7 linked regions of the Danio rerio genome follow. The protein of the gene in region 7 purifies or fractionates together with the protein of the main gene of each other region. This does not show direct contact. Links are inferred from orthologs where the notes say so. Each region holds a gene or a part of one and is shown on either strand. Other genes may lie near its edges.

Evidence for each region.
Region 1: the proteins of stx8 (region 7) and stx12l purify together in Homo sapiens (affinity purification with mass spectrometry; 3 studies listed by BioGRID and IntAct, counting the BioPlex papers as one, with this or other methods). This does not show direct contact. The link is inferred for Danio rerio from reciprocal best matches to the Homo sapiens genes STX8 and STX12.
Region 2: the proteins of stx8 (region 7) and vamp3 purify together in Homo sapiens (co-immunoprecipitation; 3 studies listed by BioGRID and IntAct, with this or other methods). This does not show direct contact. The link is inferred for Danio rerio from reciprocal best matches to the Homo sapiens genes STX8 and VAMP3.
Region 3: the proteins of stx8 (region 7) and vamp8 purify together in Homo sapiens (co-immunoprecipitation; 5 studies listed by BioGRID and IntAct, with this or other methods). This does not show direct contact. The link is inferred for Danio rerio from reciprocal best matches to the Homo sapiens genes STX8 and VAMP8.
Region 4: the proteins of stx8 (region 7) and sybl1 purify together in Homo sapiens (affinity purification with western blotting; 3 studies listed by BioGRID and IntAct, with this or other methods). This does not show direct contact. The link is inferred for Danio rerio from reciprocal best matches to the Homo sapiens genes STX8 and VAMP7.
Region 5: the proteins of stx8 (region 7) and stx7l purify together in Homo sapiens (affinity purification with mass spectrometry; 5 studies listed by BioGRID and IntAct, counting the BioPlex papers as one, with this or other methods). This does not show direct contact. The link is inferred for Danio rerio from reciprocal best matches to the Homo sapiens genes STX8 and STX7.
Region 6: the proteins of stx8 (region 7) and vamp4 purify together in Homo sapiens (co-immunoprecipitation; 3 studies listed by BioGRID and IntAct, counting the BioPlex papers as one, with this or other methods). This does not show direct contact. The link is inferred for Danio rerio from reciprocal best matches to the Homo sapiens genes STX8 and VAMP4.

Annotation. Positions count from the first base shown.
Region 1 is NC_133191.1:7,959,399-7,963,436, forward strand, and holds the start of stx12l (syntaxin-12), read left to right. Parts: upstream 1-1,238; 5' UTR 1,239-1,250; coding exon 1,251-1,335; intron 1,336-1,683; coding exon 1,684-1,794; intron 1,795-4,038. UniProt on the Homo sapiens protein: SNARE promoting fusion of transport vesicles with target membranes. Together with SNARE STX6, promotes movement of vesicles from endosomes to the cell membrane, and may therefore function in the endocytic recycling pathway.
Region 2 is NC_133186.1:42,699,741-42,703,240, forward strand, and holds part of vamp3 (vesicle-associated membrane protein 3), read left to right. Parts: coding exon 1-135; intron 136-3,500. UniProt on the Homo sapiens protein: SNARE involved in vesicular transport from the late endosomes to the trans-Golgi network.
Region 3 is NC_133180.1:28,878,231-28,882,373, reverse strand, and holds the start of vamp8 (vesicle-associated membrane protein 8), read right to left. Parts: upstream 2,801-4,143; 5' UTR 2,718-2,800; coding exon 2,691-2,717; intron 1-2,690. UniProt on the Homo sapiens protein: SNAREs, soluble N-ethylmaleimide-sensitive factor-attachment protein receptors, are essential proteins for fusion of cellular membranes.
Region 4 is NC_133189.1:9,609,540-9,613,818, reverse strand, and holds the start of sybl1 (vesicle-associated membrane protein 7), read left to right. Parts: upstream 1-1,479; 5' UTR 1,480-1,657; intron 1,658-4,279. UniProt on the Homo sapiens protein: Involved in the targeting and/or fusion of transport vesicles to their target membrane during transport of proteins from the early endosome to the lysosome. Required for heterotypic fusion of late endosomes with lysosomes and homotypic lysosomal fusion.
Region 5 is NC_133195.1:49,559,518-49,563,493, forward strand, and holds the start of stx7l (syntaxin-7), read left to right. Parts: upstream 1-1,176; 5' UTR 1,177-1,225; intron 1,226-3,976. UniProt on the Homo sapiens protein: May be involved in protein trafficking from the plasma membrane to the early endosome (EE) as well as in homotypic fusion of endocytic organelles. Mediates the endocytic trafficking from early endosomes to late endosomes and lysosomes.
Region 6 is NC_133195.1:16,244,147-16,247,646, forward strand, and holds part of vamp4 (vesicle-associated membrane protein 4), read left to right. Parts: intron 1-108; coding exon 109-155; intron 156-276; coding exon 277-327; intron 328-3,128; coding exon 3,129-3,229; intron 3,230-3,500. UniProt on the Homo sapiens protein: Involved in the pathway that functions to remove an inhibitor (probably synaptotagmin-4) of calcium-triggered exocytosis during the maturation of secretory granules.
Region 7 is NC_133181.1:25,853,213-25,856,712, reverse strand, and holds part of stx8 (syntaxin-8), read right to left. Parts: intron 150-3,500; coding exon 48-149; intron 1-47. UniProt on the Homo sapiens protein: Vesicle trafficking protein that functions in the early secretory pathway, possibly by mediating retrograde transport from cis-Golgi membranes to the ER.

The sequences.
Region 1 (4,038 bases), on a different chromosome or scaffold from region 7:
ATGAAAGCATTTCACGATTTGTAGACTGCACATCCATGATACAAATTTCCAGTTCCACCACATCCCAAAAGTGCCCTATTGGATTGAGGTGACTGTGAAGGCCATTTGAGTACAGTGAACTCATTGTCATGTTTAAGAAACCAGTCTGAGATGATTCGCACTTTATCACATGGCTTGTTATTCTGCTGGAAGTAGCCATCAGAAGATGGGTTCACTGTGGTCATAAAGGGATGGACATGGTCAGCAACAATACTAATAACAATACTAATGTGACCAAAGTGTGTTAAGAAAATACACCATTACACCACCACCACCAGCCTCAACCGTTGACACAAGGCAGGATGGATCCAAGCTTTCATTTTGTTGATGCCAAATTCTGACTATCTGAATGTCGCAGCAGAAATCGAGAGCCATCAGGCCATGAAATGTTTTTTCAATCTTCTATTGTCCAATTTTGGTGAGCCTTTGTGAATTGTAGCCTCAGTTTCCTTTTCTTAGCTGTCAGGAGTGGCACACGGTGTGGTCTTCTGCTGCTGTAGCCCATCTGCCACAAGGTTGGACGTGTTGTGCATTCAGAGATGCTCTTCTGCAGACCTCGGTTGTAACGAGTGGTTATTTGAGTTACTGTTGCCTTTCTATCAGCTGGAACCAGCCTAACCATTCTCCTCTGACCCCTGGCATCAACAAGGCATTTGCGCCCACAGAACTGCCGCTCAATGGATATTATCTCTTTTCGCACCATTCTCTGTAAACCCAGATTGTTGTGCGTGAAAATCCCAGTAGATCAGCAGTTTCTGAAATACTCAGACCAGCCGGTCTGGCACCAACAAACGTGCCATATACAGAGTCACTTAAATCACCTTTCTTTTCCTATAATGATGCTCGGTTTGAACTGCTGCAGATCGTCTTAACTGTGTCTACAAAATACAGGTGTACCTAATAAAGTGTATATACACACTGTATTACTACTGTGGCATTCATTAACAAAGTTATAAACAAGCTATACTATGTATAATACACTTGAATATAGTAGGCTAGGCTGTTTCACTGCCAAAACCCAAAAGTAACACATGACAGCTGTAATGGTCCAGCGTGATTCTAGTCATATTATCTAGTCAATAATTTGCACATTATAGAAATAATAATAATAACATTAACATTAAGCGACATTAACAAAGCAAATAAAAGAAATAAGTTAAAGTAGACCCGTCAAAACAGAAATCTAAGCTCCGCCTATTAGTGTTACCGCTATGATCGTGTGTTTCCTTTCTATTCATTTCGATTTCTGTGAGAGGAGCAGCGCATCGCCGCCGCATCTGAGCATCACAGTTACAGGTATGCGATTCATTCTCACTCTTTACGTATTGAAACCGTTCGCTTTGTTGACATTCGTGCAAGCATATTTACATAATTTCAGACGTACATAATTAGTCCTTGTTTTATTGCAGCGACAGGCCTGCTGAGCCATTACCGACGTGAAATGTGTTGCGTTGCGTACGCAGTAGCCTACATTTTCTGTATTTGTTTCAGGTTTATTCATTTACGTGTTTTATCTACTGCTATTTTCAGAAATGTGTAACCTGTACATAAAATAAGTCGTTTATTTATATTTAATGCGCGAACACAGTTAACCTAAAGTGAATGTGATTTATGGCATCTGATCATGCAGCTGTTGTTTTTCAGTCATCATGTCTTACGGAATGATGGACAGCAGCCACTCACAGTCACAGCCGAGAGATTTCAACAACCTCACGCAGACATGCAGCTCAAACATCCAGAAAATCACACAAAACAGTAAGTAGATATATTGCAGACACACTTTAAGTGATCGTTTAAATGAAATGCGTGCAATTACACTGCAAAAAATGCCTTTCTTGCTTAGATTTTTTGTCTTGTTTCTAGTCTAAATATCTAAAATTTATTATGTCAAGAAGCATTTTCTAGACAAGCTAACCATATTGTCTTGAGAAATAATATGCCAATATTAGGTGAGTTTTTCCTTAAAACAAGCAAAATAATCTGCCAATGGGGTAAGCAAATTAATCTTGTTTTTTCTTTTGACGTAAGATTATTTTGTTTACCCCATTGGCAGATTATTTTGCTTGTATTAAGGAAAAACTCACTTAATATTGGAATATTATTTCTCAATACAAGACAATATGCTTTGCTTGTCTAGAAAATTATTCTTAAATTAGGAATTTTTTAGCTATTTGGACTAGAAACATGACAAAAGATCTAAGTAAGAAAAGCATTTTTTTGCAGTGTAAACAGTTTACTGACCCTGAAGACACCTTTCTTCTTTTAGACAAGCACAAAAACAATGACACAAAGTAATTTTCTGGCTTGATTTTTTTTTCTACACATACACATCAATTTTAAAAAAATAATCCACATGACGACTCCATGGGTAAAGATGGTTTCTGTAGTGAAGGAATTAGTTTTTGTCAGAAAAATATCCACATTTAATGCTTTTCCAGTTTGCACATTCTCAAGGGAAGTAGCCTATGTATGATAAGCCTAACCCTTACTGTAAATTATTCCCAAAATCAGAGGGGATTAATATACTGATGTAGATTTGTATAACCCTAAATGTAAGCCTAAACTTAAACATAACTGTAAACGTATTCCTTAAATCTAATTGGCTGATTGGAAACACAGATATTGATCCAGAAACATGTTACTCGATGAAATAGTGTAAATCTTAAATTAGAATTTTGGCAGTTTTGGATATCCTGTACATTTGTATTATTATTTATATTAAAATTATCCATGTTTATGTCCTACTTCATATGTGATAGCTTGGCTCTTACTGTATGTCAATACAGATTTTTTTCCCCTTAGAGAGCATTGAATAACACGCTGTAGTGATATGGATTATTTTTATGGAAATCTTAAACTGGGGCAGCATCAAATCCTATAAAAAATATGGGAAGTTTTTTTTTTTTAATAACTCTGTGTTTGTCTGAAATAGAAAGGCATGTTGTACAGTACATCTAGGATGGCTTCAAGATGAGTAAATTATGAATTATGTTTTTCACTTGGCGAAGAGTTCCTTAAAGAAAAGATTGCATTATCTGTTAAATCTTTAACTATTTAGTTTGAATAGGTATTAATGGGCAGTTCATTGCGCTGTGGCGACCCCGTATTGTTAAAGGGACTAAGTGGAAAAGCAAGGCAGGGCAAGTTTATTTATATAGCACATTTCATACACAGAGGCAATTATAAGTGTTTTACATAAACAGGAATAAAAGAAACAAGAGTAAGAAAATAAAAACAAATAATAAGAATTATAAAAATACGAATAAAAATAAATAAAACAGATAAAAATGTGTTAAAATATGTTATAAGATAATGAAAAAGAAAAGAAAAGCATAATAGTGCGATCTGTCGACGCAGCACAGTGCTCATTCAGTAAGGGCACAGCTAAACAGATGTGTTTTCAGTCTTGATTTGAATGTGCCTAATGTTGGAGCACATCTGATCATTTCTGGAAGCTGATTCCAGCAGCGGGGGGCATAGTGGCTGAAGGCGGATTCACCCTGCTTTGACTGAGCTCTCGGAACTTCTAGTTTATATGATCCTAAAGATCTGAGTGATCTGTTAGGTTTGTATTCAGTGAGCATATATGAAATGTATTGAGGTCCTAGGCCATTTAGTGATTTATAGACCAGTAACAATACTTTAAAGTCTATTCTGAATGTAACTGGGAGCTAGTGTAGAGACCTGAGGACAGGTGTGATGTGCTCTGATTTTCTGGTTCTGATCAGAATCCTGGCTGCAACATTTTGGATGAGCTGCAACTGTCTCACTGTCTTTTTGGGAAGGCCAGTGAGGAGTCCATTACAGTAATCCACCCTGCTGCTGATAAAAGCATGAAGAAGTTACTTCACTGGAAACAAAGCATTCTGATTCTTGCAATGTTTTTGAGATGATAGTATGCTGATTTACTTACTGCTTTGACATGACTATTGAAACTCAGATCTGACTCCAGAGTCACACCAAGATTCTTGATCTTATTTTTTGTCGTTTGACCTTTAG
Region 2 (3,500 bases), on a different chromosome or scaffold from region 7:
GTTGATAAAGTCCTGGAACGAGACCAGAAGCTGTCAGAGCTGGATGATCGTGCTGATGCCCTGCAGGCCGGAGCGTCTCAGTTTGAGACCAGTGCCGCCAAACTCAAGAGGAAATTCTGGTGGAAGAACGTCAAGGTAAAACTAGCAGTAAAACACTAGTAGTTTAGTAATACTTGCTTCAGTAAATCAAATTTAGGAATGTTTTTTTGAAGTTACATCTAATTTATTAATAAAATGTATATGTTTTCAGTGTTTTGAGGGATATTAAGTGACTTTTAGAGGTTGCTGTTGGTCAAACTATACAAATGATGCGTCTAATTTTTTGTTTTTTAGGCTACATGCAGATATGAACACCTATTTTACGTGAAACGTGTTTTGTGAATACTTAAGTTGTCCATCAGAGCTCTTGAACTGCCCGTTTCAGACCGTTGAATATTATTTTTTAGAATTGATTGGTGCGATTATGCATTCACAATGGTATAAACCGTAATGGGGGGTCAAATATATAGTTATTTAATAAATTTTTAATTATTAATATGTAAGATATAGACCAGAGAAAGCTATTTCTTACTATTAAAGGGCTGACCCCCATACATCTTGATTTGATGTCCTTCAGGGGGGGTCAATCGTTAATTAGAGGAGTCAAACCCCTGTAATTCGCTCCCTGCTTTTAATTAATTTCATTAAAGGCATGATTAGGTTATTAGGTTAACTGCAGTAGGTTCACACCGGAGGAAACACGAACACAGGGAGAACATGCAAACACCACACAGAAATGTCAACTGACTCAGCCGAGGCTCGAACCAGCGACCTTCTTGCTGTGAAGCGACAGCTTTACCCACTGCGCCACCGCGTCGCCTACATAAAAATGGTCAATTGTAATACTTTGATTGCATTAACACGTTTCTGACCACCAGACGTCCCTACAACGTAGAGTTTCAGACACTTCAAAACGTTGAAACATTTTGCGAAGCAATTCTTCAATTGCTTCTAATGCTGGGTTCACCCAAGACGAGGAAGAAGTGTCAAGCACGAGTGCTTTACATGTTAAGTAAATGCAAAGATGCTAATAGACATCCTGCAACGCGATACGTGTGAATGAAGCGGCGCAAGTTGATCGTTTTGCACGTATCACACAAATCGCTCGAGTTGAAAAATCTGAACTTCATCAGACATTCGAGCCTCGTTAACCAATCATGAGCTATGTCTTGTAGGGGCGTCACTATGACGTAGCGCCTGTTGTTGGTGTCCCAGGGGAAAATCCTCCTGCCGACACTGGACAGCTTATCACACTGGGCTTGGCTCAGTCAGAAGCACTGCTGAAAGCTCCATCGTCCATGTATAGTTTCTGGAGGAGTTTGAGCTCAGAGCTGGGTGCACCTTTGAATGGATCTAGTGCACTCAGACACGGCACATAAACGCAGCTATTCTCTCAATAAAATCAATGTTAGCCATTTAGCAATGAAGCTAGAGTCACCGTGCAGACAGAAGCCCCGCCCATGGTGCGAATCCGTGTCTGTTGGGAAGTGAATCTGATGCGCGAATAAAGCGGGTAAACTTAAAATGTTTACGCGCGAATAGCACGATTTATCTGTGCGTGCACCATCTAGTGTGAACACAGCATACGCTTTGAAAAGCTTCATTTCTGCCATCAATAGTGGCTACATTGTTATAGTACAACGACTAGCTGTAGAAGAGCAAGCAAATACCACGTGGAAACAGGACCACAATGTCTCACTTCAGGGCTCGAAATTGGGACCATTTTGGTCGCATATGCGCCCGAAATTTAAGCTATGCGACCTCATAATATATATTGGGAGCATTCGTGCGACTGCATATAATAGTTGTAGTGCGACCTGTTTTTTTTTTTTTTCTCAAAACGTGGTAAAATCGGTCTTCCCTGCCGATATATTGGTTCATATTAGCTGTCAATCACTCAAGATTTTCCGCTGTCAGTCGACAGGGAGAGAGCTTTTGTAACCTTGGGGAATGCAAACGGCTGAAAAGTGAAAAGTACACTGAATCTCGATGCGTTGCATGCACTGCATGTTCAGCCAACACAATCTCACGGCAATTCATAACATTTTCAAAAGTTTCCTCGTGAGATCAGGCTGCAACAGCGCAAATGTCCGCTAAAACACCATCGCCAAAGAAGCTTGCCTTTACTGAGTTTAAACTGATGCGGGTTATAACAAAGAACAGTGTTGCCCCTGTGGTCATCGGGAGAATCCTGCCCTGCCCCCCTCGTATTGGGCCGGCTGACTCGCATGCTTTTCCACAAACACATATGTAATTCAGCGCGTAACGACGCTGAGCATTAAAACGACACGAACCGAAACACGAACTTTTAAAAGTGAGACTTTTCTTCCTTTCTTTTGTCCGTTCTTTCTTGAGGTGTATATTATTTTTCTATTTAATTACTGATGACTGCTTTTCAGCTTTCAGCATTGAACTAAATGATTTATTATATTATTTCGTTTGTTTTGTTGCAGAAATATTATTTATTTAATTGACATGCATATAAAACAATAGTACAAAATAAATATTTCTTACTACAATGCTTCATTTGTGTTTGATGCAAACCATTAATTTATTTTTCATAAAGTAACTGTAGGACTATATAGCAGATAACTTACATTAAAGCGGGACTAAATTTTGAATCCCGCTCCCGCCCGCACCCGCCAGGTTTTAGCCGGAACCCGACCGCTCCCGCTTATATTAAGCACTTGATGTCCCGCTGCCCGACCCGCCCCGTTTTCTATCCGCCGCGCCCGATCCCGCTAAAGAGCGGGGGGAGAACAAAACCGAATAATCACCCAGTTATACAGTCCAGACAGTCTATAACAAGCTGTCTGTATAAACACACACACGCACGGCACCAAGCACACACACACAGACAAAGCTTTTTCTCTCATTTGCGCGCGCCCTCTAACACACACTCATAAGCACCAAGCACAAACACAGGCAATAAGGCAAAGCTCTCGCACACACACACACACACACACACACACACACACACACACACACACATACACACACACACACACACACATACATACACACACACACACACACACACACACACACACACACACACACACACACACACACACACACACACACACACACACACACATATCTGTCATTCGCGCGTGCGCATACATACACACACACAAACAAACAAGCTAAACACAGCATCGCGCTATTTCATTTACACACATACATACGCGTGCTCACTCGGGAGTCGGGAGCGATATTGCTTGACAGCCCGCTCCCGTCCCAAATTAAACCCGCTACCGACCGCTGCCGTGATTTATTCGGAAATTTATACCCGCGCCGTAGAAATCTGGTCGGGTCCCGCGGCGCCCGCGGGACAGCCGCAGGAATGCAGGCCTCTACATTCAAGGCAGCATGATGATGAGAAATATAATTCATTATTAGTATTATTATCATAATTAATATTTTATAACTATTCAACATTCATTTTGGAATTATTGCAC
Region 3 (4,143 bases), on a different chromosome or scaffold from region 7:
TTCTTTTTAAAGTAAAGTTTATGAATGCTTTGGCAATACATTTCTTACAATTGTCATGCAAATAACACAATTATTGAATTTAATTGATTTGAATTGACAGAGAGAGAGAGAGAGAGAGAGAGAAAAAGAAAACTGCGTTATGCCAGAAGGCCAAATTATTTAGAAAAGAAAAAAGTACAGAAAACAGATTGTTAGTGCTAGAAGTAGATCAACCTCTATAGACAGTATTAGAACAAATAAAAGTGTATTTGAAGAAGAAAGTCAGAGCTAGGAAGTTTTATTTAAAAAGGATAAGATAGACATTTTTCCCAGAGATGGGTTGTGGCTGGAAGGGCATCCACTGTGTAAAAATGTGCTGGATAAGTTGGCGGTTCATTCCGCTGTGGCGACCCCAGATTAATAAAGGGACTAAGCTGACAAGAAAATTAATAAATGAAAGAAGATAGACATTAGATTAGAAAGTGTACGAAGGTCAACGGTATTACATAGAGTGCATTTTTAAGTACAAACATTAATGTTCAACATTGTCCATTATTGGTCAAGAGATATCGGAGCTTAGTACTACATTGGTTTACTAGAGAATTATATCAACTACTTTACAAATGTATTTATTTTTAATATACTGTATAATCTTAAATGTGCAGCACACAATTTGAATTTGGTTTAATAATTAATTTGATAATAATTTATTTGATCATTTGGTTTTTAGATGTTGAGCATGGAAAGATCCAATATATCCAACATGATGTGTACAGTATGTGTGCAACACTGCGATATATTTACACATGTAAAAGGCATGCAATAACATCAACATTCTTCTTCAAAAGTATTTACTGCTTTACTTAAAGTATTGTAAATTTGAAGTATTTTAGAGAAATGAAAAGTATTTTATGACATTGCATTAATAGGATTGGATGAATGCCAATTTTAACATTCTGAAATATAATTCAAATACAACAAACTGAATTTGTGTGACTCAATTGCATTTGACAGAATATTTAATCCAAATAAAAACAACTCCAAGACATCATACAGTATAATTCGCCTGTAGTGTAGATGTGGCACCTTATGTGTGATACTCGCAAAACCAAACAAGAAAGCCTAACCACATTCACACATTAAAGCACCAATAAAATACTGCTACACTTAAACATAGAACAAGTCTCATGGAAGCAATCTTTAGCCGTTAATTGTGCAATTTGTGTCTTAAGAGTAAACTCTCTGTGCTTTTTACACGTTCAGCCATTTTAAACACATTTAAGCTCTCCTGTTCGGCAGATACCTCATAAACAAAAGGAGTTACCAGGAAACCAAAAGCATTGTTGCGTCACTACCTGTCCTGCCCTTCTATTATACTCAATGGCTCTCTCTTTGTGTGTGTGTGTGTGTTGGTGTCACAAGACCTACAGGATGGCAGAAAGCTATTAGGTAACATCTGATACTGGCAGTTCGAGGTACCAATATTGTGGCAAAATAGTGTGATGTGTGCGATCCACTTTATAATGTGACAGAAACAACATGATAATTAAAAAGAATATAATTTGGTATTATGTGAACCGCAAGTATGTTTTGTTGAAACTGTTTTTTTTAATTAAAACTTAAATGTATCAAAGATATATAATGGGATAAACAATCATCTTCAATGAAAAGTTCACCCAAAAAAGAACATTTACTCACTATTTAGTCACCCTCAATTAGTTCCAAACCTTTGAGTGTCTTCTGTTGAAAGAAAGCCAAAAACATGTAACCACTGAATTCAATAGAAGGAAAAACAAATACTATGCAAGTCAATGGTTACAGGTTTCCAGCTTTTTTCAAAATACATATCTGTGTGTTTTATGTAAGAAAGAAAAATCAAACAGGTTTGCAACAAGGGTAAGTAATTTTCCATTTCTTAAACTTGAGTTTCTTTAATATTTGTATTAAACAACGACATGCTTGCTTCCTTCAAGGACCAGCATTCAAATGACAAATTGAATATATTATTTATTTAAAACACTACAGACAAACTTTATCTTAACCACAATGCCACATACATCGAAGTAACGTTAGTCTCTACACTGTGAGTGGAACTTGTGAAATGATTTTAAAACCAAGTGTTGACAGTTGACCAACCTGATCTGAAGCAAACGAGCAGGAGGACCTAACACTTCTGGTTCAGTTTAACAGTCAAAGAGATGTGTTATGTTATCAGCACATTTGCAAGCTGAAGTTATTGTGAATATATTTCTAAACTGAGGGCCCATTCAGTAAGAGTGGAGCTCAACAGTATCATGCAAACCGGTTATGCTTCGAAGCTCAAGGTAAATTCAATCCATCTGAGTAAACAAATCAGTACAAGAAAATTCCAATATAAACGGTACTAATCTCAAGTATAAATGTGTTATTTAAACATTACATTTGTATAAGATAACCAAGCAAATTATCTACATTTGCTGACAACAGGAACGTAGAAACTTAAGTAAAACTTGAAAAACAAGCTTCGCCCTGTTTGGAGTGCGTCAAACTAACACCAACCGGTGAAAAACAAGACACGCACACACACTGACTTGTTCTAATGTTTGCACCACTAAAAGTAACATTCGCACAGATATCAAGAGAAATTAAGTTCGCACAGTTTTGTTAACTATAAACTTAAAAACGATGCAACAAAAAGCACCTGCTGACTGTTGTTAAAATTAGTGACTTACCGTACTGTTTGGATCAGTTACACCCATAGTTTCACCAGCTTCTTTTTATTTACTCCACAATATAAAAAATACACGTTATCCTTTAGAATTAAAATGTTTGCAACTGTTTTCTAGTGTAACCGATAGATGTACGCCGTGTCAACACTTCCTGGTCTCTAATTCACTCTTCCTCCAGCAGCGAATGACTTGGCTTTGGCCCACCTCTGATGCGACACTTCCCATAGCATCCTCAAGATGGCGCCGGGTTCATCTCACAAACACACCTGTAAGGTGAGTGCAAATACTATAATCATGCCATCTAGACGTCTTCCCGGCAGGTATGAGAAGCGTCTTGTAAAACCGGATTAGAGTGAGTTTTCTAAAAGTACTGATGTGTGATTAAACTCAGTGGTATTTATAGAAGTTTATAATTTCAAGCATGATGAAAACTGCTTAAAAACAAAGTTAAAATAGTTCAATTCCTATGCATGAAACACAATACGTCTTCAACAACTCCACCTAAACGCCTTTGGCATTGCATGCATTTAAAGCATTATTCTATTTAAAAAAAAATCATACTAGACACAAAACCAAGCATAAATGTGACAACACGTTTTATTTTTGAAAATGGTATGTACAATACACATCTAAAAGAAACCTCAAAGTTAAGAAATTATGTTTTACAATTTAAATAATGCAATAAAAAAACAGTGACACTGAAAACAGCACATTAATATTTTTACTTTTTACTGAAGCTGCTAAAGTTATCAAAACGCTTGATTTTAAAAGCAAACATTATTCAAACTGCACCATGTTGAGTTTTTTCCTCTTGGTGAATGCTTCTGACATCTTTCACTTTCACTTGTGTGTGTGTATATATATATATATATCAATAAAAAAGTCTGTGGTTTGGTATTTCCCTGTACAACATTATCATAATCCTGACACCACCGTCATCATCCTCCTCCTCCTCCTCCTCCTCTTGGCTATACTGTTTTGTCCCGACATTTGTATTTTTACATGCCATGGAGAACAAAAGAAAGCGGATTTACATTTTGATACAAATGACAATTTGTGCATAAAAGATTTGTGTCAGATTTTCAGTGGCCTTGTTTAATGATGATATCAGTCATGCCATCAATTTTGTGCAGCTCCAAGTTCTGTTGATGGAAAGAACCACTTTTAGATTCACAGCAATTAAATACACAAACAATAGGTTTCTACATGCAGGTTACAAAAACAAGTTTAAACAAGACAGCATGCTAACAGTAAATCAACACTGAATATTTATTAGATCTTCGTCTATAGTAAGCGTTGAACTATTTTAAAGTACTCACTTTCTCATTAGCCAAGTGCAGAAGGGCCACGAAAGCCAAGGGTACTGACAGATTAGTAGCCATGGCAGAGGGAAGCCTACAAAAAAAAAAAATGTACAGTGAATGGATAAACAAAATTGAAATATTTAGATCACTTT
Region 4 (4,279 bases), on a different chromosome or scaffold from region 7:
ATTTGTCATATCTCATCTGGACCACTTTAGACTCACAGCCACATTAGCCAGAGCTTACTGTGCCAAATATTTGCCAAAAGTGGCCCACATTTGTTTTATAATAACTGGCCCACATTTGCACCTACACATGTGAGCCACTTTGAGTTTAGACCCAGATTACCCTCTAATGACTATGCCAAATTTTTGCCAAATGTGGCCCACATTTGTCCTCTATCATTTGGGCCAAATTGACCATTTTCCACATGGGCCACATTAGGTTCACATTCAGATTACATTTTGCCATAAGTGCCAAATCTTTGCCTTAAATGGTCCTTATATTAATTGGAATCTTGGCCACCTTTTGTCATTGTACAGGTGGACCACTTCAGGCTCACGTTTATTTTGTCTGGCCCGAAAAAAGACCAACAGTGCAACATAACTGCCTAAAGGGGCCTACATTTGTATGCTATCTGGGTGTTGTTGATATTCAGGAATTTTTATACTTTTTTTTTTTTTTTTACCAAAGAGGCTAGAAAATTTCTAAAGAATTCATTATTATCGTTTTATTATTATTATTATGTTTTAATTATAATTTTTATTAAAATGGCCAAATTGTGACTGAGGACAGTTGAATGTGCTGGCCAGTTTGTTTTTTGTCTAATAAATGATAGTGGGCTACTTTTTTTTACTTTAAAACTTTAACAGATTGCTATTTTTTCCTAATGATAAATGATGTAATAAATTTGTATTTAAAAATAGTCTTGTTTTAATTTTTCTTTATTGCATTTTTTCAGGAAATATTTTCAGTACATCAAAAAGTGTGATTATGATAACATCTGACTAGCTAATCCAGCAAAAAAAAAAAAAAAAATTTTATATATATATATATATATATATATATATATATATATATATATATATATATATATATATATATATATATATATATATATGACTAAAATGTAGTATTTAAATCTCATAGTTAAATAGAAACTGAGGTGTATAAGTGCAAAAAAAATCCACTTTTTGAGAAAAAAAGAACCACCCCTTTCACCAGACTGGCTACGGGCCTGAAAGGGCTATTTTTTACTTTTTTTTTTTGAGTAATATTTACATACTTTTACTCTACTTGCACTACATTTTGGGCAAGTAATAGTATTTTTACTTGAGTATGATTTTTCTACATTTTTTTGAGCAATATTTACATACTTTTTCTCTACTTGCACTACATTTTGGGCAAGTAATGGTACTTTTACTTGAGTATGATTTTTCAACAATCTTTCCACCACTGCTCGTTTTTTTTATGTAGACTACAGAACTCGTTAAAACATCCATATCTTTAAATTGCATCGCAAACCTAGTGCTTTATTTCACAATACAAACCTAATCACATCAAAATGATTAAATCAGCACTATCTACCGTACAGTACCAACAAACAGCTCGTGCGCGCGCGTGTGTGACGCAATGCAGACATCTCTTCGTGGTCGCCAGTGAATGACGAAACGCGGAAGACAGTGACGTTTGTTGATTTCTGGATTTACACACACCGGCGCTATTTTGATCAATCCTAGCATTTCAGACATGTTTGTAAGGCAATGAAAGTGCTGTTTATGCCACTGTGGGTTAAAGACGTCAAAGAGAGGAGCACGAGCGGCTGTTTGTCCGTCAGAATCTCAGGTAACGTACATATAGCGGATGATGATCGATCAACAGATCATATCATCGACTTCATCTGATTTCATCAACAGTATTTTATCATCAGACTAATGTCACGTAGACACTGTTATTTTATTATTTTTCGTCGTTTTGATGTCCTATAGACTAGTCAATAATAACTACAACTAGTGCGATTATTGTATAGCTTTATAGAGGTAAAGTTGGTTTTATATTCGCACATTCGTTCATTTAGCAGTCTGTATATTGTTTACCATGTTACGTTGAATATTCGATCGAAATTAGCTTGCAAGTATGTCTTCAAAACAACATTTAACATTATCTAATTGATTGTGGACAATGTTGTACTTTGCTAGTCACTGGCTGCTTTTATGATTTTCCTATTTAGAATTTGCAAATACTTTAATGACATTTAAGGAGAATGTCTGAATATCCGAATATAATTATAAAACCAACTTCACATCTATTATAGCTTTTACTGTACGTTATTTCAGTTATTAACTTTTGTGAAATCGTGTTGCTTGTAATTTACGCAAGTCATGTTATTAACTGTGTCTGATATGCATGTATACAGTAAGTCAGATAAACTAAAAGCTCACAAATCCATATATTAATATCAAAACATTGATAGTTGCCTGTTGCATAATATAGAATAATATATAAAATAATACATTTGATTTGTAATGCGCTTTATACTTAAAGCGCTACAGGCAAAACACTAATACACAAGGCAAACAAAACAGCACAACAATAAAAGATACAATAAAACAATAAAAATATGAAGCATAAAATAGAAATAAAAAGTTAAACAAAATGATCATCCTAAGTTAAAAGCTATGCTAAAAAGGTGAGTCTTAAGAAGTTTCTTAAAACAGTCCAGAGGCAGCATTTCTAATGCTGATGGAGAGTACATTCCAAAGCTTAGGTGCACTGTGTGAAAAAGCCCTCCCACCCATGGTCTTGAGTTTACACCGTGGCTGATGCAATGTAAGTCTGCAGAACGAAGACTGCAGGCTCCGGTGGCGAGGGTCAACAGGTTGCAGATGTAACTGGGTGCTAACCCATGCACTGCTTTAAAAGTTAAAATCAAACCGTGATTTTACAGGAAGCCAGTGTAATTGTTGTAGCACAGGAATAATGTGGTGGCGTGATGATGTGTGTGTTAGAACCCGTGCAGCGGAATTTTGTATATATTGTAGTCTTCTGAGAGAACTTGCAGGTAAACCCCCAAAAAGTCAGTACAAAGTACAAAAATCAAGACGTGATGTGATGAAGGCATGGATAAGCCTCTCTGCATCAGAGAAATGGTCTGATCCGTGCAATATTGCGGAGATGAAAGAAGGCAGTTTTTTATATCTTCTGTATGTTCAGAAGATTCTGTATACGGTAAAAAGCCCTCCCACCCATGGTCTTGAGTTTACACCGTGGCTGATGCAATGTAAGTCTGCAGAACGAAGACTGCAGGCTCCGGTGGCGAGGGTCAACAGGTTGCAGATGTAACTGGGTGCTAACCCATGCACTGCTTTAAAAGTTAAAATCAAACCGTGATTTTACAGGAAGCCAGTGTAATTGTTGTAGCACAGGAATAATGTGGTGGCGTGATGATGTGTGTGTTAGAACCCGTGCAGCGGAATTTTGTATATATTGTAGTCTTCTGAGAGAACTTGCAGGTAAACCCCCAAAAAGTCAGTACAAAGTACAAAAATCAAGACGTGATGTGATGAAGGCATGGATAAGCCTCTCTGCATCAGAGAAATGGTCTGATCCGTGCAATATTGCGGAGATGAAAGAAGGCAGTTTTTTATATCTTCTGTATGTTCAGAAGATTCTGTATACGGTTGAGGTAAAGTTGGTTTTATATCCCCACATTCAGACTTTCTCCTTAATAATATAATTTTAGAAAAGTATTTTGTGCAAATTCTAAATGGTGAAATGCTAATTTTGATTTAAATTCATACGTGCAATTTCACACTGAATACTCCATTCTATTACCATGTTAAACAATATAGGGAGCATGTCACTAGTTGTCAGTAAACGAATGTGCAAATTTAATAGCAACTTTACAGTGTATGAACGCATGCCTGGTAAACAGTGGATAAAAGGTAAAGTCGGTTTTATATTCGCCCATTTGTTCATTGACAACTTCTGACATGACCCTGTATTGTTTAACCATGGTGTTCGATGAAAAATACAGACTGTGGAATGTGTTTTTAACAGAAATATTTTGTAAACTGAATTCATGAATGTAAAATGTTGAAAACAGCAGATTACTGGCAACCACAGCGGCTGGTATTTTTCCGTAAAATCAAAAAAGGAAGAAAAAAAACAGCAAAACGGTTTTTGTGTCACCATTGTGGAGGTTAGTAGCGTCTGTGTTCAAGTCCAAGATGAACTAAAGAGTATTTAATGTTATGCTGCATCTTCTTTTGTTTAAAGGTGACTGTGTAGTTACTAATGCAGTCAAAATCTGTTTGCTAGTTGCAATCACACGTGAACACATTATTGCATTTAAAGACTTTACATTTTTGTGCACTAAGCTATGATTTTGTAAACTAAACACTGTATTAGTTCATGGTTATATTTCGTACATTTATACAGTTCTATAAAACTTCCATATTTTTCACA
Region 5 (3,976 bases), on a different chromosome or scaffold from region 7:
TGTGTGTGTGTGTGTGTGTGTGTGTGTGTGTGTGTGTGTGTGTGTATCAGGCCCGGATTGGCTAATCGGGAGGACCGGGAGAATTCCCGGTGGGCCGGTGCGTTTTTTGGCCGCGAGGGCCGGTGTCCCTAGCTCTAGAATCTGTTGCTCTCAGCAGTCACACTTTTTAAATTAATTTATTTACTTACTTGACTACAGTCTTCTTATTCATCATTTTACCGCAGCTCTGCTCTTTTTATATATGACCAGCCTGCAGGTTAATGACGATATTAGTCAGATGAGTCAGTCCTTCATATACAACTGTTGTGGTCCAGTGGTTAGCACGTTAGATTATGACGCTAACTTTCAGTAACTCGCAGCGACATATATAATATATATATATTTATATATATATAAATAATTTTTTTTGTCAATATTTAATTTACTATTAATCTCACTTAATGACAACGGTGAGCACACTGTTTGCAGCACAAGACTATTCTTGGTTTAATTTTGGGGATCGTCCTCTATGTGTAGTCGTGGCCTTTATTTTTTATGTACACGCGTGCCGTAAAGGTGTCAGAGTTTAACATTGTGCCATTAATCTAGTGTAATAACCCCAGGGGTTGGAATCCAATGGGAAAAGAATTGAAAGGCTGATGGCTTTTTATTTGCATGCTGTTATTTTATTTAACTATTAAATACCATGTTTATCTTCTGTAAGTTATGGATAAAATATGGCTATTCTAATAGTTTAATAACATATATTAAAGAGAAATCACCAAGCAACCCACCCTCATTGTCTCACAAACCCCAATTTGGGAACCACATAGCTATACTACTAGTAGCCTACATAAATGTTTATGTGAAGTATGCTTAAGATATATCAATATTAACTAACTATACTTAATAAAAAGGAACGTGAAGTATACTTCTTTTTAGTAAGGTTAGGCTACTTATTACCCATGTGGAAACCAAGTTAAAGTCTACTTTATTTTTGTTATGTAGGCTAGTTTTTTTTTTTTTTTACTTTTTTAATTGGGGTAAGTTAATAATAATAGACATCTGCCTAGTATTTGTCGATCTAAACATATAGTACATAAACTCAATAGTTTAGTATATGCGTCAAGTACATTACTAATCTACTACATGTTTCTGAACGCACACGGAAGATAGAACAGAAGTCACGTGACCCGCGCGTCAAAGAAATCAGCTGAGGGCTCGGAGTTTCACTCAGGAAATCCAGGTAAACCGAACAACCAAAGTACATATTAAAGTAAACGATGCGTATTTATAAACTGTACATGTGTGCAGACTTTACGTAAATAGTTGTTGAGGGTAGTTTAAAAGAGAAGTCAGTAAAGTAGCAAGCGCAAAGTTCATTCACTGAAGCATATTTGTTGACAGCGCGATTTGTGTTCACTTGACATGAAACTACACTGTAAGATTCCCGAATGTTAATGTTTGTTGTGTGTCAGCAAAGTTAAAACAATAGCTGTCTAGTTTTATAAATGAAAATGCGTGTTTGTGAGTTTGTGAGCCGTGATTTCCGCATTCTTTCGTTTTGCAGGTGCAGCGCAGATCGGTTTTACTAGTCATCTGTTTAGTACTAGCCTGCTAACCAATAAACAACATTACGCCAGCTATTTTCGAGTAATTATTGAGCTAATAAGGCATATTTCAAAGCAAGGTGAGCAACTATATGGGGCAAGTTTTCTCGTTAATTCAAAATGACAACAGTAATATCATTAAGGGAGATTCTAAAACGCATGAAATAAGCTTAATAATTGAGGTTAAGTTGATTTTATACTATAGACTTTATCCTTAATAATATAATTTTGGCTAAGAACTGCACATTCTGATTAGGGACATCATATTAGCATCTAATGACTTTCAAAGTACACGCTGCTCTCAGTCAATTAAATAATGCTAATGTTTAGGTCATACTTACATGTGATTTCAGACTTCATATATAAAGTAGCATGGTAAACAATATAGGGAGTGTATCACAAGTTGTCACTGAAAGAATGTGCGAATATAAAACCAACTTTGCCTCAATAGCTTAATATACCTAAACATCAACCAGAGAAGCCCACATTTCGATCAAACTTTACTTGTAATTAACCCGAACTACTGTTAAGACAGAGTCCCAATTCCATAAGTGAAAAATATCACGCTAAGCGTTTTCTCCACTATTGAAGTCTATTATAAGTAAAAGCTTAATGTGGCTTAATGTACCTCAACAACAAGTGGGGGGAACCAAATTTCTATCAAATTTTACTTGTGGTTAGCACTAACTATATAGCAAAAAAATTAAAAATTTGCCCCATTTCCACAGCTTAAGTGAACAGCGTTTTTCCCTATGTTGTTGTGGGGATGTCAATGACATGCACAAGTGCATTCTTTTGACAGCAAAGGGTTAATCTATAATAAATTAAGTTAGATTTTTTGAACAGCTTTTTTATAATTTGGTTTCCCTCTGTTTTTAAGTCAAGCTTTCCTTATTAAGGACTTCAACGGGGAAGAAAACACTTAACGTGATATTGTTAACTTTATCTGTGGAATTAAGGCCCATTCTTTTAAAAATAGTTTGTCTTAATCACAAGTAAAGAAATTTGGGTTTCCCTGGTCTGGGTTAAGATATGTTAAGCCACGTTAAGCTGATTCCTTATAATGCGCTTCTGTGAGGAGAATGCTGAAAGTGATATTGCTCACTTGATACACTAAAATAAAAGCTTGTTCTTTTACAGCAGTAAGTGTTTTTCATGAATATATATCTATAGAAATTTGATTGTCTCTAGATGTTAAGTTAAACCACATTAAGCTGTTATAATGGACTGAAATGGGGATAAAATGCTTAACAACATTGTCCGCTTTATCTACAGACTAAGGGCTTGATCTTTTGATAGTAGTTAGTGTTAATCACAAGTATTCGATAGATTTTTGGTGTACCCCACTTGTTGAGGTATACATTAAGCCATGTTAAGCGTTTTCCTTTTATAATGGACTCAGTGGGGAGAATTGCATACCGTGATAATTTTTACCCACTAAAATAAGAGCTCATTCTTTTGACATCAGAAAGTGTTTGTAACTTTTATAGAAATTTGGTTTCTCCCACTTGCTGTTAAGGTACATTAAGCCACGTTAAGCTTTATCCTTATAATAGACTCCAATGGGGGAGTAAACGCCTAACATGATGTTTTTCAATTTATCTGCTTAATTGGGACTCATTCTTTTTACAGTAATTAGGGTTAATTACAAGTACAGTTTGACAGAAATTTGGGGTTTTCTGGTTGATGTTTAGTTACATTAAGCCCCGCTTTCTTCATGTTAAGCATTTTTGAATGTCCCCATTAATATAATTAAGAAACGCATACAAAATAGTGAGCAATTGTTTTGGTCTCCAAATAGTACAGTACGTTTTAAGGGTAACTTAAAGTTGGTTTATATTCACACATTCAGACTTTCTCCTTAATATAATTTCAGAAAACTATTCTTTACTAATACTAAATAGTCAAATCATATTCCCAGCAAATGACAATTAAAGTACAGCATTGTTCATGGTCAATTAAATAGTGCTAATGTTGTTTTGGAGGCATATGATTCAGACCGAATATTTAAAGTAGTAAACAATATAGGAAACATGTCACAAGTTGTCCCTAAATGAATGTGGGAATATTAAACATTAATAAGTATGTATAGTTTGTGTAAAACATGTTTACAACTCGTGAAAGTCTGTCACTACTTGACATTTATTAAAAACGTCGCAAATCCAGCATTTCAGTTCATACATGTTAATATACAAACTATTCTGTAGCATGTAGGATCAAATATAATGATAGTTGAATGTTATTGAAGGAAGAAATTGATAAGCCATATGTAAAAACACGTTCAAATAGTATGTTTTAGGAGCAATGTATATAAGAAAACATGTTTATGAATAAATTGTATAAGCTTGTTATTATGTAGCGCAGTATAAGAGATAATTGTGCGATTG
Region 6 (3,500 bases), on a different chromosome or scaffold from region 7:
CTCAGACTGTTATTTCAAACACCTGGTTTCAATTCAGACAGAACATTAGATTAAACCCACAATGCCCAGTTGTGCCCAGCCTGATATACTCATCTTCTTAATTTGCAGAGGAACCTACTGGAGGAAGACTCTGATGAAGAGGAGGACTTTTTCCTGTAAGTCTGCAGTTGTGCATAATCACTCTTGAATTGGAATAATAACAGATCTTCTGCATTAATTATTGTTTGCGTCCAGCTTTTGATTTGTCTAGCTTTTTTTTAATGTTTTTTTTTAAAGGAGAGGACCGACAGGACCAAGATTTGGAGGTCAAAATGATAAAATCAGACAGTACGTACACAATTTTTCTTTTAAATTTTTTCTGTTGTTTATGGTTTGTATGTGAGCAGCACTAGTTCTGTGTTCCCTTTGTGGATTGACAGTACAATACTTCTCATTTCAGTCAGTTGTCGTCCATTTGGTCTGTTCTAGCATAGGCTTTTGGTCCAGACACTATATCTATATCTATAGCTTATTTAACAATGCAGATTGTGTCAAAGCAGCCTAACATAGATGAAGAAAAGAAAGTAAAAGCAATAATATTTTAAATTGTGGAATTTTCCAGGAATTCAGGCAGGTAGGCCAGAGAGTAAAGTCGAATGCTGGTGTAGTTCTAGTAAATTGAAACTGTTTCACTTCCGTTTTAGTATAAATTCAGTTTAGTTCATTGATATAGGGTGTTTACACCACACTTGTAATTAGATGCACAAATATTTTTAGTTTACTTCATTCTTGCGTTAAAATCAGTTCACAATAGACAAAGATTGATGTCATGGGAGGGCATCTGTCTGCCTTGTGACTTCAGCTTTGTTGCTAATGGCTAACATGAATTTTATGAAGAGAGTAGCTGTGCTTCTCCAGAAGCTGTGCCAGGATCACAGAAGCCTTCAGTGGTATTTCCGACTGAGCTAGTTCCAGTTTGATGAGCTGTTGTCCTGTTTTCACTGGAGGATTTTTCCCTTGGGACACCATCAAAAGAAACTATGTTGTAGTCATGGCCCTAGTAGAGCAAGTTCCTGGTTAACGCTGCACCAATGTCCACCAAAGTTCAGATTTTTCAACTGAAGTGTCATTTGCTCCATTCACATTATTTGCTTGATTCACTTCATTCGTGCAAGTAGCGTCGCTGGATGTCTAATCACTTCTTTGCATTGACCTAACATGTAAATCACTTGCGCTAGACCCTACATCCACATCTGGTGTGAGCCTGCATCAATGCAAATATCATTGCTGAAGGCCGATCCACTGAAGAGCAGTCCACCAATGTGCGGCTTCACTAGTGCAGCCAAGCAAGCAAGAGGCGAAAGTGGCAAGGAACCAAAATTTCACCAATTGAAGGAAGTGAAGAACAAGCCTTGAGAGAAATCAGGCTAGACCATTCTTAATCTTGCTAAATGTCTTGTACAGAGGTGCAGTATGGATGCCACAGGCTTGAGAATAAAGGATGCCCGTTGGGGAAAAGGTGCAGGTCCAGGTTGGTCACTAGGCAGTTGTTCAAACTAGCAGACAGGATCAATGCGTTGACCGATTTGTCACTGGGGTCTTTGCAGAAACCGACTCAATGACCACAACAGCCATCTGCTCAGGATATGGGTTGTATTAATCATTTTGTAGACCTAGTGATAAGAAAAAACAGACTAACACAAGCATAAACATGTTGGCCTGGTGTGTCCCAGGCTTTCATTGATTCCTGGTAATTTGGCATGCCTTTGACAATGCATTGTTTTTATGTGAACAGTTTTGTTTTTTAATGTAAACAAAATCAGAAAAAAATATTTAAAATATCCATGTGGACATGGCCTAAGATTGTAGTCTGAGGATGCAGTCTGTGTTGAGGCTGAGACTAAAAGAGAGAGTCAAAGTTGGGACCAGAAGATGGTCAAGTTTGAGTCCAGGCAGAAACCTAGAGAGGGTTGAGTTCAAGTCAAGACTTGATGTTTTAAGTTTGGTAGTTATTTTCAGAACTGAAAAACTAGAAATGTTCAAGTAGTAGGATGAGCTGAGCTTAAAAATGTGGAGGCAGATATCTAGAGATTTACACTGGCAGGGTGTTATGGAAATCGCAGTTCTTGATTCAACCAGCACTGCCCATGTCGTTGTGCTTGTAGTTTATGTAACCCTTTATAATGACATCTGTGAAAACACCCACCCACAAACACACCTCCCGTCTGCAAAGAAGGGAAGCACTGTAACCATCTGGGTTTCTATGAAACAACATAATATTTGCAGGCAAAAGTAAACAGCTACTCCCAATATTCAAAAGTTCTTCTGGTCCTGACGTGGATGTAGTAGCCAGACTGTGAGCTTTTCTTTGTTATGAAGTTTGGTACATACTAATGTGTTGCAGTAATTCTCCCAGTGGAGACCTAGCAGAGCTTCGCCCAGTGTGTGCAGCCACACGACACCAGCTTTACGTAACCATGTGCTGCACTGTAGAGTGACCCATAAAACAATGGAATTTAATAGGGAAACCTTGGAAGGTGAAATTTTCCTAATGTTTTTTTTTTTTCTTGCCTTTGTGTACTTCTCTGATTTTTGCACTTACTTCATTTGTCTGTTGGTTATTGATGTGGAAGCAGGGCTGCACGTGGAAGGTACAATTCCAGGTGCAAGAGATGTGCAAGGTCCTGTGCCATTGGCACTGATGATGGTTTGTACTAGGCGGGCATCCAGGCACAGAAGCAAGGGGCAAAACATCCTGTTCTCAGTTCATTTACAGGTTAATCTCCCTTTTCAAAAGCCATGCCAAGCTCTTGTGCCAGGTGTATGAGAGCAGCTAAATACCTCACATGCTATTTAGTGCGTATTTGCTTGTCATGCCTATGAGATCAAATATTTCAAACTATTTGGATGTGTCTAGACTATGTCTAGCAAAACATTCTCACCACCTCTCGACATTGCAGGGTCAACAGATCATAGTCATAATGATGAATCCCGAATGGTTTATAGAAGAAGAAAAGGTTCACTTTTTCAAAATAATAGAATCACAGGCCTAAACATGTGCACAGAAGCTGTTAAAATGTCCTGCTGAATCGAAAGGAAGTACCATACCATTCCCCTCATGTTGTCCTCTCTGTCTTGTTGGTCTTCAGGGTGCAGTCTCAGGTCGATGAGGTCATTGACGTCATGCAGGAAAACATCTCCAAAGTGATCGAACGAGGAGAACGTCTAGATGAGCTGCAGGATAAATCTGGTAAGATGGATGTGAACGAATCATTGTGAATCCTTTGCCACTTGCTAATTTCTTTAATTCCAAGAGAATCAAGACATGATTCTTGGACCATCACAGAAGTTTTGTAGTTTCTTCTTCAGACTGGGAATCTGTAGTATTGTGAACATGGGAACAATTTCATTTAAGTTCAATTAGGGCTGGGCGATATGGCAAAAATGTAATCTCGATAATTACTGTCCATATCGAACAATTAAAATATATATTCTGATATCAGTTGTTAATGCTTCCACAT
Region 7 (3,500 bases):
ATGTCGAGTACATTAAACCAGTGGCTCTACAGAGGCAGAAAACTCACCACAGGAAGCAGACTTGCTATCCAACAGCTTGACTCTTTTTGTCTCGTTTTTGATGCGGCCGTCCGTCTTGTCCACAAGCTGAGCGAGGTCATCGATTATCTCTAAAATACACAACAGGACAATTCAGAACAAAAACATCATATTGCTAATTACTTCCAGGACACATGCAATGGTGTAATGTAATGAAGTAATTATACAGCCCTTAAGTATTTGTTGTGAATATCTGTACTTTTTACTATTCTGGCAAATTTCACTTTTACTGGACTACATTTCTTTCATAAATTATAACAATTCTACCAAACATTTTAGCTTTAATAAAAAAAAAATTCAAAAACTTAATGTACACTCAAAAAAAATGATTGGTAACACTTTATTTTGATGGTCCATTTGAATATTAATAGACTGTCTGCTTACAATCTGTTGATACTGCTCCTTTAACAGACATTTAACTGACTATAAGAAACTTTGCAAACTTTACACTAATCGTAACCCTAATCCAAACCTTCCAGTCTACGTATAATCTAATGAGAATTAGTTGTCTAGTAGATTCAACTGAACTTAAATTCAACACACGGACCATCAAAATAAAGTGTGACTAAATGATTAGTGCTGCTTGTTCAACCTGTTTACAATGAGCAGAAACAACACAATTCTTGTAATTTCTTTGGTCAATTCTTTTGTTTTATGTTCAGTCCTCTTACATTTGTAAATCATTAAGTTAACTTAAGAGTTTTGGATTGGGATAACTTGAAGGAATTGTGTTGGTCCAACTACCTGGTTATGGGCTTTTGTAGTTCCCAACATGCTTTGGGTGGGATGTATTAAGAAAGGAAAATGTTGACAAAACAAGTAATCTTAAGTGTTTAAAGTTAATAGAAAGACTTGTTAAAGTTTATTCTTCATTTTAGTTTGGAGGTTTAGAAGAGTTTCATGTAATGCTTTGAGTTTTGAGATGACCACCTTTTAGAAGCAGCCATCCTTTAGGTGTTTGCAGCTTAATTAGCAAAAATGCAGTTTATGGCTTTGCTCAGTCAGCAATAACTGTCTTCTGAGTTCTGAGATCAGTCGTAATTTATTGTATATGTAACTCATGAAATATGCTTAAAAATGGCTATTTTAGTTTATTTTGGATAACTTCAAATAAAACAAAAAGACTTTGAAAGGTACAACACATAATGAACATACATGATATTATCAGTCATTTCAGTTTAAGTTAAATAAAAATACAAAGTATTTAAACTTTTATTTGATAAAATCATGTTGGACCAAGTCAATTGCATTTAATTGTGTAAATTGTTTTATTTAGTTGGTGCAAAACAAACTTATTGGATGGAAATCCTGCCCTCAATTAAATTCAGTTAATCCAAGGTTTGTTTTTTGTTTTTTTGAGTGTAAAAACTGAGCAGAATAATGCTACACGCTGAAACAAAAAAAAATGTAAATATTTATTGGCTTTTGACATTGTTATATTAAAAAAGATTAAGCTTTTATTTTATTTACAGCATTTACATGTACTTCTACTTTCCTTATTTAATAGTAAAAATTTAAGTTAAGCTAAAAATGATAAATATCAGATTCTTTAAAACTTTTACTCAAGTGATATTTGTACAAAAGATTGTTTAATTATTTTGTTTTCTAACTGTACATTTAGTCTTTACCTGTTTTGTTATTATGTGGGCGTGGTTAAAAGGTCCGCTCGCGAGTTTAATGAATAAAGTGAAAGTGTTCGACACAGTAATGAAAGAGGAACAGAGAGAAAGGCAGGTGCGCATCGTGATGCTCAGTCGCCAGTTTCGAGAGTTAAAGCCAACAAACTGTTAGGATTGCAATCACAGCATCCTCAGAGAAGGCAGTTTGACTGAATCCTATCAGATGACAGGAAGATGTGGTGTGATTACTTCAGAGTTTGACAGAACTTTATGATGTGCGTCATTGAAGAAACAACCACACACATACATACAAAATCACACGCTACTGCATGAACATTTACAGCAACATTTAACTTAATCTGATCACTTGCTTTTACACAATCACTCATTATACATTATACATTCATTGCAAATGAAGATCCCGGCAAATGTTGCACACTGGCTGATGACATCACTACTATTGATCGACTGCTGAAGTGATCGCTGGACCTTCTGTTTATGAGGTGGATTTTTCTGTGAAACTATTGGGACTTATTTCACCATATTACAAGTGATCGCTGGACCTTTCTGTTTATAAGTCCTCTGAAACTATTGGGATTTATTTCCCCACTATATTACAACCTTACAGTACTGTAATTATTGTCATCTTATATGATAATTGTTTTCATTTACGTGGGCCTACGCTATTTTATTTGATTTGTATTGTGATGATTATGTTTACACACTAATCATAAAGAAATTGATACATTGTTTGAACAAAATAATTTGTGTATGACCTCTTTACTCTTCTCCTATTCTTTGGACATCAATTGGATAATATATCCTTTAAGGTGGTATAGAACCGTATAGTAATCAGTGCTTTCATACAGGCTTCAATACAATATTCAAAACAGTGACTTTTACTTAAACCAAAGTCAATTTCTAGTAATATATTTGTAATTTAACTGACTTTCAAGTACTTTACTGTAGCAATCATTGTGCAATACAAACATTAAAAATAATCATATTTGGCTATAAACATCCTATTTGGATGTTTTTTTTTTATTTTCAAGATGGCTGGAGATTTTATTCCTGTCCGAATAAAAAAAAAAAAACATCTGTCTTTTTCTCTCACTACCTGCACTGTAAAAAATATCCATAAATTAGCAGTTGTCCGCATTTTGTGATTCATGTTTTTTGAAAAAAAAATAAAAAATTGCTTTTAATTTGCATTATGGGTCTTTGATCTTCCGACAACTTCTAACCTTAAAAAGTTTGAAAAGATGACTTTTTTTAACATTTTTAATATTTTAAAGTGATACATTGTCTGGGTTGGTGTTTAATTATGTTATAGAAACCTTGTAAAAAACTTTCAGTACATTTTCTGTTTTTTTATAGATTTTTCTATATATATATTATTACAGTACATTATTTGCAATACCATATGAACCATTTTATTTTGAGAGTTTGCGTTAGATCCTTTCCTTATAATTCCTATGTATTTAAAATTGCATCCAAAATTTCAAACCAACATGTCCATTAGTCTACATTAACTGAGTTTTATTAATTCTAGAAATCTTGTGAATTAAATATTTAACCTCATTACAAACTCAAACATCCACTGCAAATGTTTTAAGTTTTTCTTTTCACTTTCTGATAAGCTATAAGGACCTTTTAGGTCCCCAAGACAAACAACTGCCATCCAAAGGGCTATAGTGTATAGTTCTACAGAGAAAAAGAGAAAGAGAGCAGCAGGCGACTAGCTAAAGTTTTCCTTTGCCGTGGCTTTGTGGCGTGTGTGTGTCTACGTAAAGGGGATTTATA